2 linked regions of the Yarrowia lipolytica genome follow. The protein of the gene in region 1 interacts with the protein of each later gene in a pairwise test. Links are inferred from orthologs where the notes say so. Each region holds a gene or a part of one and is shown on either strand. Other genes may lie near its edges.

Region 1 (6,008 bases):
CTTCGTCTTCTTCGTCTTCATCATCTTCTTCGTCTTCTTCGTCATCGTCCTCGTTGCGATCCTCTTCGTCTTCTTCGGACCAGTGGCATCGCTGAGCATCTCCAACTTGCCCTTCCCCGTTGTCACCCGACGAAACGGCACAACCAACGACTTCAATGTCGGATTGTTCGCCAGTATCTTCATCGTCGGAATCAATGTCAATAACGATGGCATCGTTGGGGGAAGAGTCCATGCTGGTGCCCTGGGAAACCTCGCTGTCGTATTTGTAAACAATGCTCGAGGAAGAAAAGGTCACAGAAGGAGTGGCAGGAGCTTTTCCAAAGGAGATGCTCTCAACCTCAAAATCAAAGGCGGTGCCGTGTGCCCTGCAGTCAGGGGACAGGGTCACTTGCGAGCCTTCCTTCAGGGGATAAAAGGTGTTGAGCTGCAACTTCTGGCCGTCCAGCTTGGTGCCGTACTTTGCCTTGCTCTCAAACAGAAACAGCTGTTTATCCGTGGCTACAAAGCTGGCGTGGTTGCGAGACACGAGGTTGAAGGCCTTGGGGACATGGATGTTTTTTTTGTGGCCTCTGGGTGACCCCAGGGTCTGCTTCTGCGCGTCGGTGAGCTCCACGTCGAATGGTTTCATAGAATCAGGCTCGAAAGAGACACAGTCCACTTCGCCGCTGCGAGTCCAGTCGTTTCGTCTGGAAAAGAGCGTGAAGGAACATCGTCCCTTGGTCTGCGAAATCGCAGAGCTGGCGGGAACGGTAGAAGGTGTGGTCTTGTCAGCTTCGCCCGTGGTGGGAGACATTGTAAGGAGACTTAAAATATGTAGAGCGTGTCGGTGTCGGTGTGGTGTGTGTTTGTTGTTGTCTGAGAGGTGAGAGAGAAGACACACTGAAGTCTAGGTGGCGAAGGCTTTATCAGGAACCCCAGAAGCTTAAATGTATAGAGTGCGGAGTATTGAGCGCTGCTGCTGTGGTTACGGGACAGATGATACAGTACAGGCTATAGTATCACCTGCAACGTATGTGTGGGGCTGCCCATTGTTGAGTGGAAATGACCAGTCAGATGCGCGGGTCTGCCGCGGCAAAATGCTACACGCGAGCGTCTCAAGTGACACAAACACGCACTCCAAACACCAGGGTCTCTCTTTTTTTTCCCCGCTGGTTTACGTTACGTCCCAATTATTTTGGGCCGGTGCTCTTCTCCTTCCTCCCAAGGTTCTCGCACTTGCACCTTCCCTTTACTGATTGTCCTAATCTTACTGACAGCATGCTTGTTCAACGCCACAGAAAACTTGATAGGAACCCTATCTAAATTAGTACACGTGATACATGCATTAGAGTTTTAGAACGAGCACAACCAGCTTGCTACGATACGATACGAGACTGTACCGCCATGCTTGAGCTACAGTACAAGTGTATGGTTAATTACAATACATCTATGATCTACTCGATGACGGCAACCCGCTTCTTGCGCTTCTTCTCCTTGACCTCGCCATCAGCCCCCTCCTTCTTGGCCTTGCTCTTGGGCTTCTTTTCCTTGTCCTTTTTGTCCCTCTTGTCCTTCTTGTCCTTCTTATCTTTCTTGTCCTTGAGCTCCTGCTTCATCTGCGCAACCTCGGGCGAGTCCTTGTCGTCCTCCAGCTCAAACTGGTCGAGCTGGTTGGGCCGAATCAAAACGTTCTTCTTGACGTTCTTGGTCACCTCCAACTTGGGCACAATCTCGCCATCAATCTGCTCGTCCTTGATGATCTTAATCTTGCGCTTCGGCTTGGTCTGAATGGGCGGAGTCTTTATCGATGTCTCGTTGATCTGCAGGTCCACCACGGGGATGGAATCGACGTCCACCTGCTCGTCCTTGAGAGGATTGGGCGTAGTGTCTCGAGAAATGTAGAACGGATCATCCTTCTGCTTCTCTAGTCGCTCCTTACGAGCATCCAGTAGACTCTCCTTCTGCACTCCACTGACCGTAGAAGCAAATTGGGGGGTAAACTCCTCCTCAACATAAACCTCCTCGTCCTCAATGTCAGAGAATTCCACTTCCAGGGTCTGCTCAAGCTCGGGAGGGAGCTCCAGATCTAAGAATGGAATTCTCTTCTGAGTGTCTGGTGCCACAGGATTCAGTTCATATGCAAAGAAAGACGGCAGCACCTCGGTAAGAAGCACAGGCACACCCTCCTCCTCCAGAGACTCGGAAATGACCTTGAAGAGCTCGGAAAACTGGGTGGCAAAGTCCTGCAGCTCGTAGTCCGGCGACGCAAGATATGACGACAAAAACTTGATCACATTGGTCACAGTCTTTTTAACATAAAGCTCGTTGGGAGATGACCAGATGATGCCCTCGCAGAACTTGCCAAACACCTTCACGATGCATACACAAACGGCCAGATCGACAGCATTGTTGCTGCTGCCACTGTTCTCTCTGACGTGCGAGTATGAGTTGAGGCAAAAGTCCAAAATGTCCTTTTGTCGATGCATGGGGTACTCGCTGAGACAGAAGAGAACGGGAGGCAGGACGCCGGGGTTCCGGAGATACACACCTCCGTCTGTGAATATTTCGTAGCAAACTCCGGTAATCTCCTCTCGCATATCGGGGACTCGCATGCACAGATCTCGGAGCGTTTCTCCGATCCGAGCAGGGTCTTCGAGAGGGAAATCGACCAGTGCGAGCTTCTTGAGCACATTCAAGAACCACTCAAAGTCGGAAATGAGTGAGTATGTGTCTCTGCAGCACATGTCCAGAATGTATGAAATGGACGCGTGGGTAAGTTGCTGGGAAAGCAGCAGGTTCACAATGGTTTCAACATTGTGTTCCGATGCAAGATCGTTGGCAAGCTCCAGTGCTCGTTCTCGGATCGTGGAATCGGCGTTTTCCTTGAGGCATTCCAGAATGACACCCTGCAGCTTTCCAACAAGAATGGGATGGACCTTGACGATCTTCCCAAGCGCTAAAAGACCCACGTACTTGAGATTCTGGTCGCCTTGGTTCACAAAAGACGACAGCTTCTCGACACAGACACCAGCCACATCGTGGTCGTCTTCTCCTAGCATGCCTCCGCTCACAATGCAGTTGATGCACTCGTACTGGAGGGAGAGTGCCGAGGTGGACTGGATCAGGGTCATGATCTGAGGCAACAGCTTAGGTTTAAGCCGAGGCTCAATGGGTGCCAACGACGAGAACAGCTTGAGGATCTTAATCATCATCCAGTTATTGGAGGACGTGGTCAGCAGCTGGTAGAGTTGTGGGGCCAGGGGCACGTAGTTCTTTGAGTGCTTCTTGGCGAGCTCACAGATCACGTTGACTGTGGCAGAAACAACTGAGGGGTCTGAATCATCGAGTCGATCTCTGAGACGAGAGAACGACGTCCGCAGTGCCTCTGGGTACTGGAGGAAGATCTTATACATTGCCAGCACTGCCTTCTTTCGGATGTAGGGTTTCGAATGGGACAGCATTTTGACAATTTCGGGGTGCACGTCCTGAGCGAGTGAAGGGGTGACAATGGTGGCGATTGCGGATAGAGACACGGACACCTCGACCGGCGAGCTTGACGTCAGATCACGTTTAAGGAGGTTGGTCGCAAGCATCAACACATCGTCGTCGTCACGGTAGGACTGGATGGCAGCGAGGTAGCCCACTCGTTTTTGTTGGAACTTTGGCGAGCTCATGACCTCCAGGACGTGGAAGGAGGCCCACGACATGTCGTAACCCAGCATCTCCAGATATGCCAGTTTGAGGATGGCGAGTGTCTTGACGGTCAGATCCTGGTTTCGGGCCTCCTGGTGGCAGTCGGACACTGCCTGTTTGAGGAACCGCTCTTTGGCGGGCAGATCTTTGGCGGCTCGAATACCCTTAATGAGATCAGTTAATGTTGATTCGAATCTGTGTTAGTGTGGCTGTGGTGTTGTGGTTGGTTAATGGCTCACTGGTGTTATGGTGAAGAGGGAACCCCATGACCTCTTCAATCACACGACTGCTGCATTCTGCATACTCACATGACTCCAAAAGGCCGCAGCCGATTTCGTACATCATCTCTGGTCGTCAACGACATGGTTGTTTCGTTTGTGTGGTGTGCGTCTACTGTCGAAGCTTACTTGTCATCCCCCGGGTGTCACGTGATCGTCGGTGTCTGTGATGAATGATGGATGGATGGTGGGCATTTAGAGTTCGGGTTGTGGTGCTCAACCACATGCAGACGCTTAGCGTGTTATCGAGAAATTTAATTCGTCCGAGCGAGATATGCGGGATTCGGACTCCGACAGACTCCGAAATTTGCCAGAGGCATGTCAGGGCCACAATTGCCTCTCTAGAGCCTCGCCAAGAGCTGTAGAAACATGTTAAAACTAACTCCGGGTTAGTTTTTTTAGTCCGAGGCTAAGCTTATGGCATTCAGGAGGCTTTTCTTTTTCTCGAGTGACCGGGACATGACTGAGGGCTGTTGGAGTTGCTACAAGTCCTCTGTAGCTGTCGTTGATGGGCCCCATCATCCAAAACGGTTCCCGTTGACGTCTTTATTACAGTTTCATCCATCTCCTGGAGCAGATGATGCATGACTGAAAGGAACAAGGCACCCCATTCGGATAAAGCAACAAGCTTGGAGCAACAGTAGGCCGTGCGGATGGACCAGCAACGGCTTCCGAAGACCAGCGAATTGATTAGGACTAGAGGTGCAGCTAGGAGCAGTTTAACCTTGGCTTCTTCGTCGTTCTGCTCGTGTGATCACACAAGTGCAAGATTTTCACTGATTATCGTCCACGGTTTAATTTATCAGATGCTAAAATTTGACTCGAGCTTGTCCCGACTTTGTTCCGACTTTTTCCCGAGCTTGTGTCTATAGTAGAATGTCTGTTGAACAAGAGTTATCGGCATGTGTTCCCTACTTGACAACAAGACCATGTCCACTTGTTGCTCCAAAGCCAAGAAAGAACTCATCACGTCACACCAGATTGGAGTTATCAGATGCGATTATCTTTTGGTTTGTAGTTTATTTCTCTACTTCCTTTCTTCGCCGCAATGCACTCTGGAGCTACTGCTCTCCAATGATGTGTCTTGTCGTCACTGCCGCCGTTCTCCAGCTAAACGTGACACACATTTCTTGCCTTGCCTTTATGCTTTCCCGAGACGCACATAGGAAATAGAGTCGAAACTTTTGTGAGCGCCGTGTTGATTGGGCGGCCATATGCGACTGCCAGGACCGGTGACCTGTATCAATAGCACCCCAGAAGAGCGCTGCTATCGAGCCCGAAAGAGCATGTTTACCAGAACCGATCGTTTAGCGTGGTTTTGGCAGCCCCAGCTCCCATTGTCAACCTAAATGTCCATGCGACCTTGCAGCGTGGATCGCAGTACGAGAAAGAAAGGACAGACCTTGCAAGAGCCCAAAGCTTGACCCCAGACACCGCGACTTGTGACGATTGTGAAATAGTTGTGTGGTGTCAAATGACTCAGCATCAACACCACCTTACTCCGTGGTTCAACACCAGACCTGAGACTCCCTTACGACACCCTTTGGACACCCTTGCGACACCATTGCGATGAACGCACGCATGTCCAGAAACAAGCCTAACAAGAGCCGCCCCTTAATAACGAACATGGTTCCCCTTATCCGCCTTTTCATGCTGACGCACCTCCGGGGATCTAGCACAGAACTCTGTGTGTAGGTGGGCTTGCCAAGTCAGCGGGGTAGTCCACGGAATGTAGTTGGAGCTACCGGGCCAGTCTGTAGTTATTGTGTGATGTGTATACACGTGCGTGAGGTCTCCCAGAGATGGTTCCCTTCATCTGTCAATATTCTCCAACGCTCAAGTTCCATAGACTTTTATGTGCATAAATTTGCGCTTCAGACACGACCTTGATACAAAGACCCCGAGCTAATTGTACGGCTATATGCTTTTGGCTATTTTGATACAGTCAACACCCAGGACACGGACACACGCACACACCTAAAAAAAAATTAAAAAAAGAGAAAGAGAGAAACACTCATAATAAGAAGGCCTCGACCAACTGAATTTTCTCCCCGACCA
Region 2 (4,014 bases), on another chromosome or scaffold:
GCCAGTAACCAATTCGTTTCTCAGCATAAGCAGTGCCCAGACCGAGGAAACCACCGACATTGACAGCCCAGTAGTAAACCAGGGTCATTCTCTGCAGAGTGGTCTCCTTGTTTATCACCACTTGTTCCCCAGATGGAAGTGTCTTGACCCAATCATCGTCTTCTCGATACTGTTCCATCACTAACGGAAGCAAGTTGGGCTTGAACAGACCGGTTCCAAACGCGAAGATAATCAGACCCGCAATGAATAGACCCAGAGAAGCCTTTTGGGCTTCAATCACTCCAGGAACACCAGCAATAACGATAATAACGTGTCCAATTCCACAAACAATAGTTCCTGCCCAAATAGTGGGGTATCGTCCGTATCTGGCATCCGCAAGATAAGCACCAAGAAGAGGTGTCAGGTAGGAAAGGAAATTGAGAACAAGAGTAATAGCCGTGGCTACTTGAAGACCCTGGTTGAGAGCTCCAGCTGTAAGCTGAGAGTCCTTCGGGGTAGCTCCCCAGCCATTGCCCCCCTTTGGAAGAGGAAACTGAACAAAGTTGGAGATGACGTTTGTAAGACCGTAGTAAGAGCCTCGTTCGGCAAACTCCACAAGTGCCAAAACGTAGGTAATCTTTGGAACTGGTCCAGAGACTCTTCGGAGTGCGATATCTCCATCCTCAACCTTTCTCAACCCATTAGGATTCCACTCGTCGGTGTAGTTGGCCCAAGTGTGAGAGTAATGCTCGTGCTCCATATAGATCTCCTCATACTCGTAGTCGATTCCATCCTTCTCATTATTGGGGTCAACGCTTCCCTCTCGGACTGACTCGTCATTGACAGAGGTGGTCGTAGCTAGTGTGTCCTTGAGAGCGTCCTTGAGAGTCCCATTTTCGGGAAACTCCGGAGTGGGGTCCAGACTGTAGTCAATATGGGAGTCGTACTCAACCTGAGGATTGTACTCAACTTGCTCAACCTCAGAAAGGTACTCCCCCTGTGAAGGGTACATGGTAGCTTTGAAGTTGTCGTCCTTGTCGTCGTAGGTCATTGCGAGATGATGGCCCCGGGATTTTCTCTGGCAATTTCTTATATATATACTGTAGATACATTGGATGACACTACTTGTATTTCAGAGCCGTGGAGTGGGGATCTCATAATTGTACTAGACACTGGGGTAAACACACTAGTCTATCGTTTCGGGTCCCCAGATAAGTGGGGAACATTCCATCGATAGCCTGAGAGGTTTGAGTGTATGCATGCCGTTTCGAGCCGAGATATGCCAAAGATCAGCTTCTCTTAATGGCTTTCCACCGTTTCTTGGTACACTGCACAAAATACCGTTAATTAGACCGTTGGCATGGCAGGAGCGACCAAGTACATGCCTGCGCACGTTAGTGAGTGTACTGTAAGTACAGTAGCTACAAGACTCTAACTTGGAAGGCCCGTAGCTGAAAATTTGAGTGGTTAGTATGTTAATTATCCGAGGCGTATCCGAGGCTCTTCTCATCGAGCATTTCCACTACTTGTAGACCCTGTGTAAGGTGCATTTATGAACGGCTCACACCCCACAACTAGCAGGGAAAAACTTCTGGAGTTGGACCTATTGGGGTAGTCAATAACCGGGCTCCCGCTTAAAAAGGATTGTGGGGTACAAGTATCCAATAAGTGCTTGCCGTGTACTTGTAGATTGAAGGAGGAGAGTCGAGTTGGATAGGAAAGGGTCAGCTCGAATATCTTCACCAGATTTACCACGTACAACTTGTACTTGTACTTGTACGAGTAGTGACGCTTGCGAGAGGGAAAACGATCGAAACTCGAGGATGGACCAAATGGCCATGGAAGAATATGTGTGGATGCAAAATTTTCCTGCTAAGATATCCATAGACTCACTTCGAACAACCCCGCTCTATACCAGTCCGAACTTTCGCTATATGAGTTTACTGACCATCAGCATGCATACAGGGCGCGCTCAGCCGAAACCACGCAGTATAGCTAGCTACGAGTACAAATACAGTAAGCACCTTCTATGGGACTTGAATAATAAAAACACTAAGTAGGGACAAGGGTCAAAATGCATTGAAAATTTTCAGCAATGAATGTTACTTCCTCTCAGAAGTTCCTACAAGTACTACAAATACAACATCTCCAAGAGCAGTTCTCTCTGTTTCTGGGTCATGTTGAACTCTAATAACCAACCACCTAAATGCTGCAGAGTTCCATCATCGCCCACCATCGTCAACCACACACACTAATTACAGGTAATGATCCACTCGGTACTGATCTTCAACAATTCGGGCTTGCCACGATTGACTAAATTCTACGCTCCCGTGGACCTGGCAACACAACAAACGCTTCTCAAGCAGGTGCATTCTCTGCTGGTGGCAAGAAAACCAGACGCATGTCTGTTCCTCACCCCTCCTCCTCTTCTCCAGGGCCAGGAGGATGTTGACACCATCCGTGTCATATACAAGCACTACGCCACGTTATACTTTGTGTTTGTAGTCGACGAGCAGGAATCCGAACTCGGCATCTTGGATCTGATCCAGGTCATGGTGGAGTGCCTGGACCGGTGCTTCGAGAACGTCTGTGAGCTGGATCTGGTATTCGGGTGGCAAACACTTGAAACCGTGCTGGGAGAAATCATTCAGGGAGGCATGGTCGTGGAGACTTCAGTGACCAAGATCGTCGCTGCTGTCGACGAGGCTAACAGAGGTAACGGTAGTGCGGAAATGAAGGAGGGAGGTGCGAGCGGAGGATTCGCCAACGCTCTCAGTGGAGCCACAAACGCCATCAGTCAAATGGCCAAGGAGGGACGATGGTCCTACCGATAATTGTATATGGCTGTGACTATGAAAAAAATGTTGGATGCCTGAGGACTACAAGTAGTGGATGTCTGATGTGAGGAAGCATAGAGAACGGTGTCACGTACATGAAGTACTGCACACATGTAAAATGAATGAATGTATTATTGACAGTTGGAATGTGACGGTTCGTATCAAGCCACTTGTCCACTGGCTATTAGTGTCACAAGGGCGTACAGACCTGCTCACCGTCATATCCCAAAACCACCATAATACTCGAACTGTTACAAGCCCCACAAGTGATGCAGAATCATGTTCCTCTTTTACCAGTATATATTCCTCTTTATCTTCAGCACCACGCACCATGTTTGTGTTATATGAGATATACTGTGGCTAGACACTCACCAAGATCGGGTAATTACACCAGAAGTAGGAGCTACTACTTGTAGTACATGTAGCGATAGTACAAGTACAACAGATATTACCAATGCGTCATACCCAGGGTCCAGACACGACCGAAGAGCCTGTAAGTTCACAGTGCCAGTAGCGCCAACCTTCAGCCCTCATTATTACGGTAATGAGTTCGAAGAGCAATAAGAGCGACCATGAGCCAGAACCTTTGAGCCAGCCCGCCAGTATGTACTCGACATATATATTCATGAGCAAAGAGTCCTTTTTCAGTGCCAAATCGAGCCCAACAACATCTACTGTAGATTCAAAAGAGCATACAAGCACTTTTACGAGACCGATCTCCAAATTATGGTGAAACAATGAGGTCTAAAGCTTTCAATGGACCAGTTTCAAAGAGTAAACCAGTCTACAAGTACCTACAAGCATAAGTTTTTTAGATCAAAACATTACATCTGGTAGTGTGGCGACACGTAGATGTGCTCAATCCCTTCGAAAGCTGAACATTGGTTGACATAGCGAGCTCGTAAACATAATTAAGCAAAGGGTTGTCCGTTTTCTACAAGCTATCTACAAGAACAAGTGGCTGGTACTCGTACTCGCAGAAGTACGGTACCGGTACTACTGTGTAGGACGCGTTTGTAATAACAACAAAGTACGAGTACGAGTATATACTTGTACAAGCATATAATATTTGTAGCTTAACTATCAACCTATGGATCAGACCAGAATCGAGCTTTTTAGTCCGGAACCAGCGCATGCTTAGTGCATTTTATATATCGGCTTGGATTGCTGGAGAGCTGTCATATCCACGATTAACTCA

Evidence for each region. The genes of interacting proteins can lie anywhere in the genome.
Region 2: the proteins of YALI1_F00229g (region 1) and YALI1_E35181g interact in binary tests that used the Saccharomyces cerevisiae proteins (3 or more experiments, as listed by UniProt). The link is inferred for Yarrowia lipolytica from reciprocal best matches to the Saccharomyces cerevisiae genes APL5 and APS3.

What each region holds. Positions count from the first base shown.
Region 1 is NC_090775.1:20,937-26,944, reverse strand, and holds YALI1_F00229g (uncharacterized protein), read right to left. Parts: upstream 4,037-6,008; coding exon 3,981-4,036; intron 3,868-3,980; coding exon 1,434-3,867; downstream 1-1,433. Other genes in the region: YALI1_F00261g (uncharacterized protein), read right to left, coding at 1-793. UniProt on the Saccharomyces cerevisiae protein: Part of the AP-3 complex, an adaptor-related complex which is not clathrin-associated. The complex is associated with the Golgi region as well as more peripheral structures.
Region 2 is NC_090774.1:3,515,837-3,519,850, forward strand, and holds YALI1_E35181g (uncharacterized protein), read left to right. Parts: upstream 1-2,243; coding exon 2,244-2,813; downstream 2,814-4,014. Other genes in the region: YALI1_E35168g (uncharacterized protein), read right to left, coding at 1-1,030. UniProt on the Saccharomyces cerevisiae protein: Part of the AP-3 complex, an adaptor-related complex which is not clathrin-associated. The complex is associated with the Golgi region as well as more peripheral structures.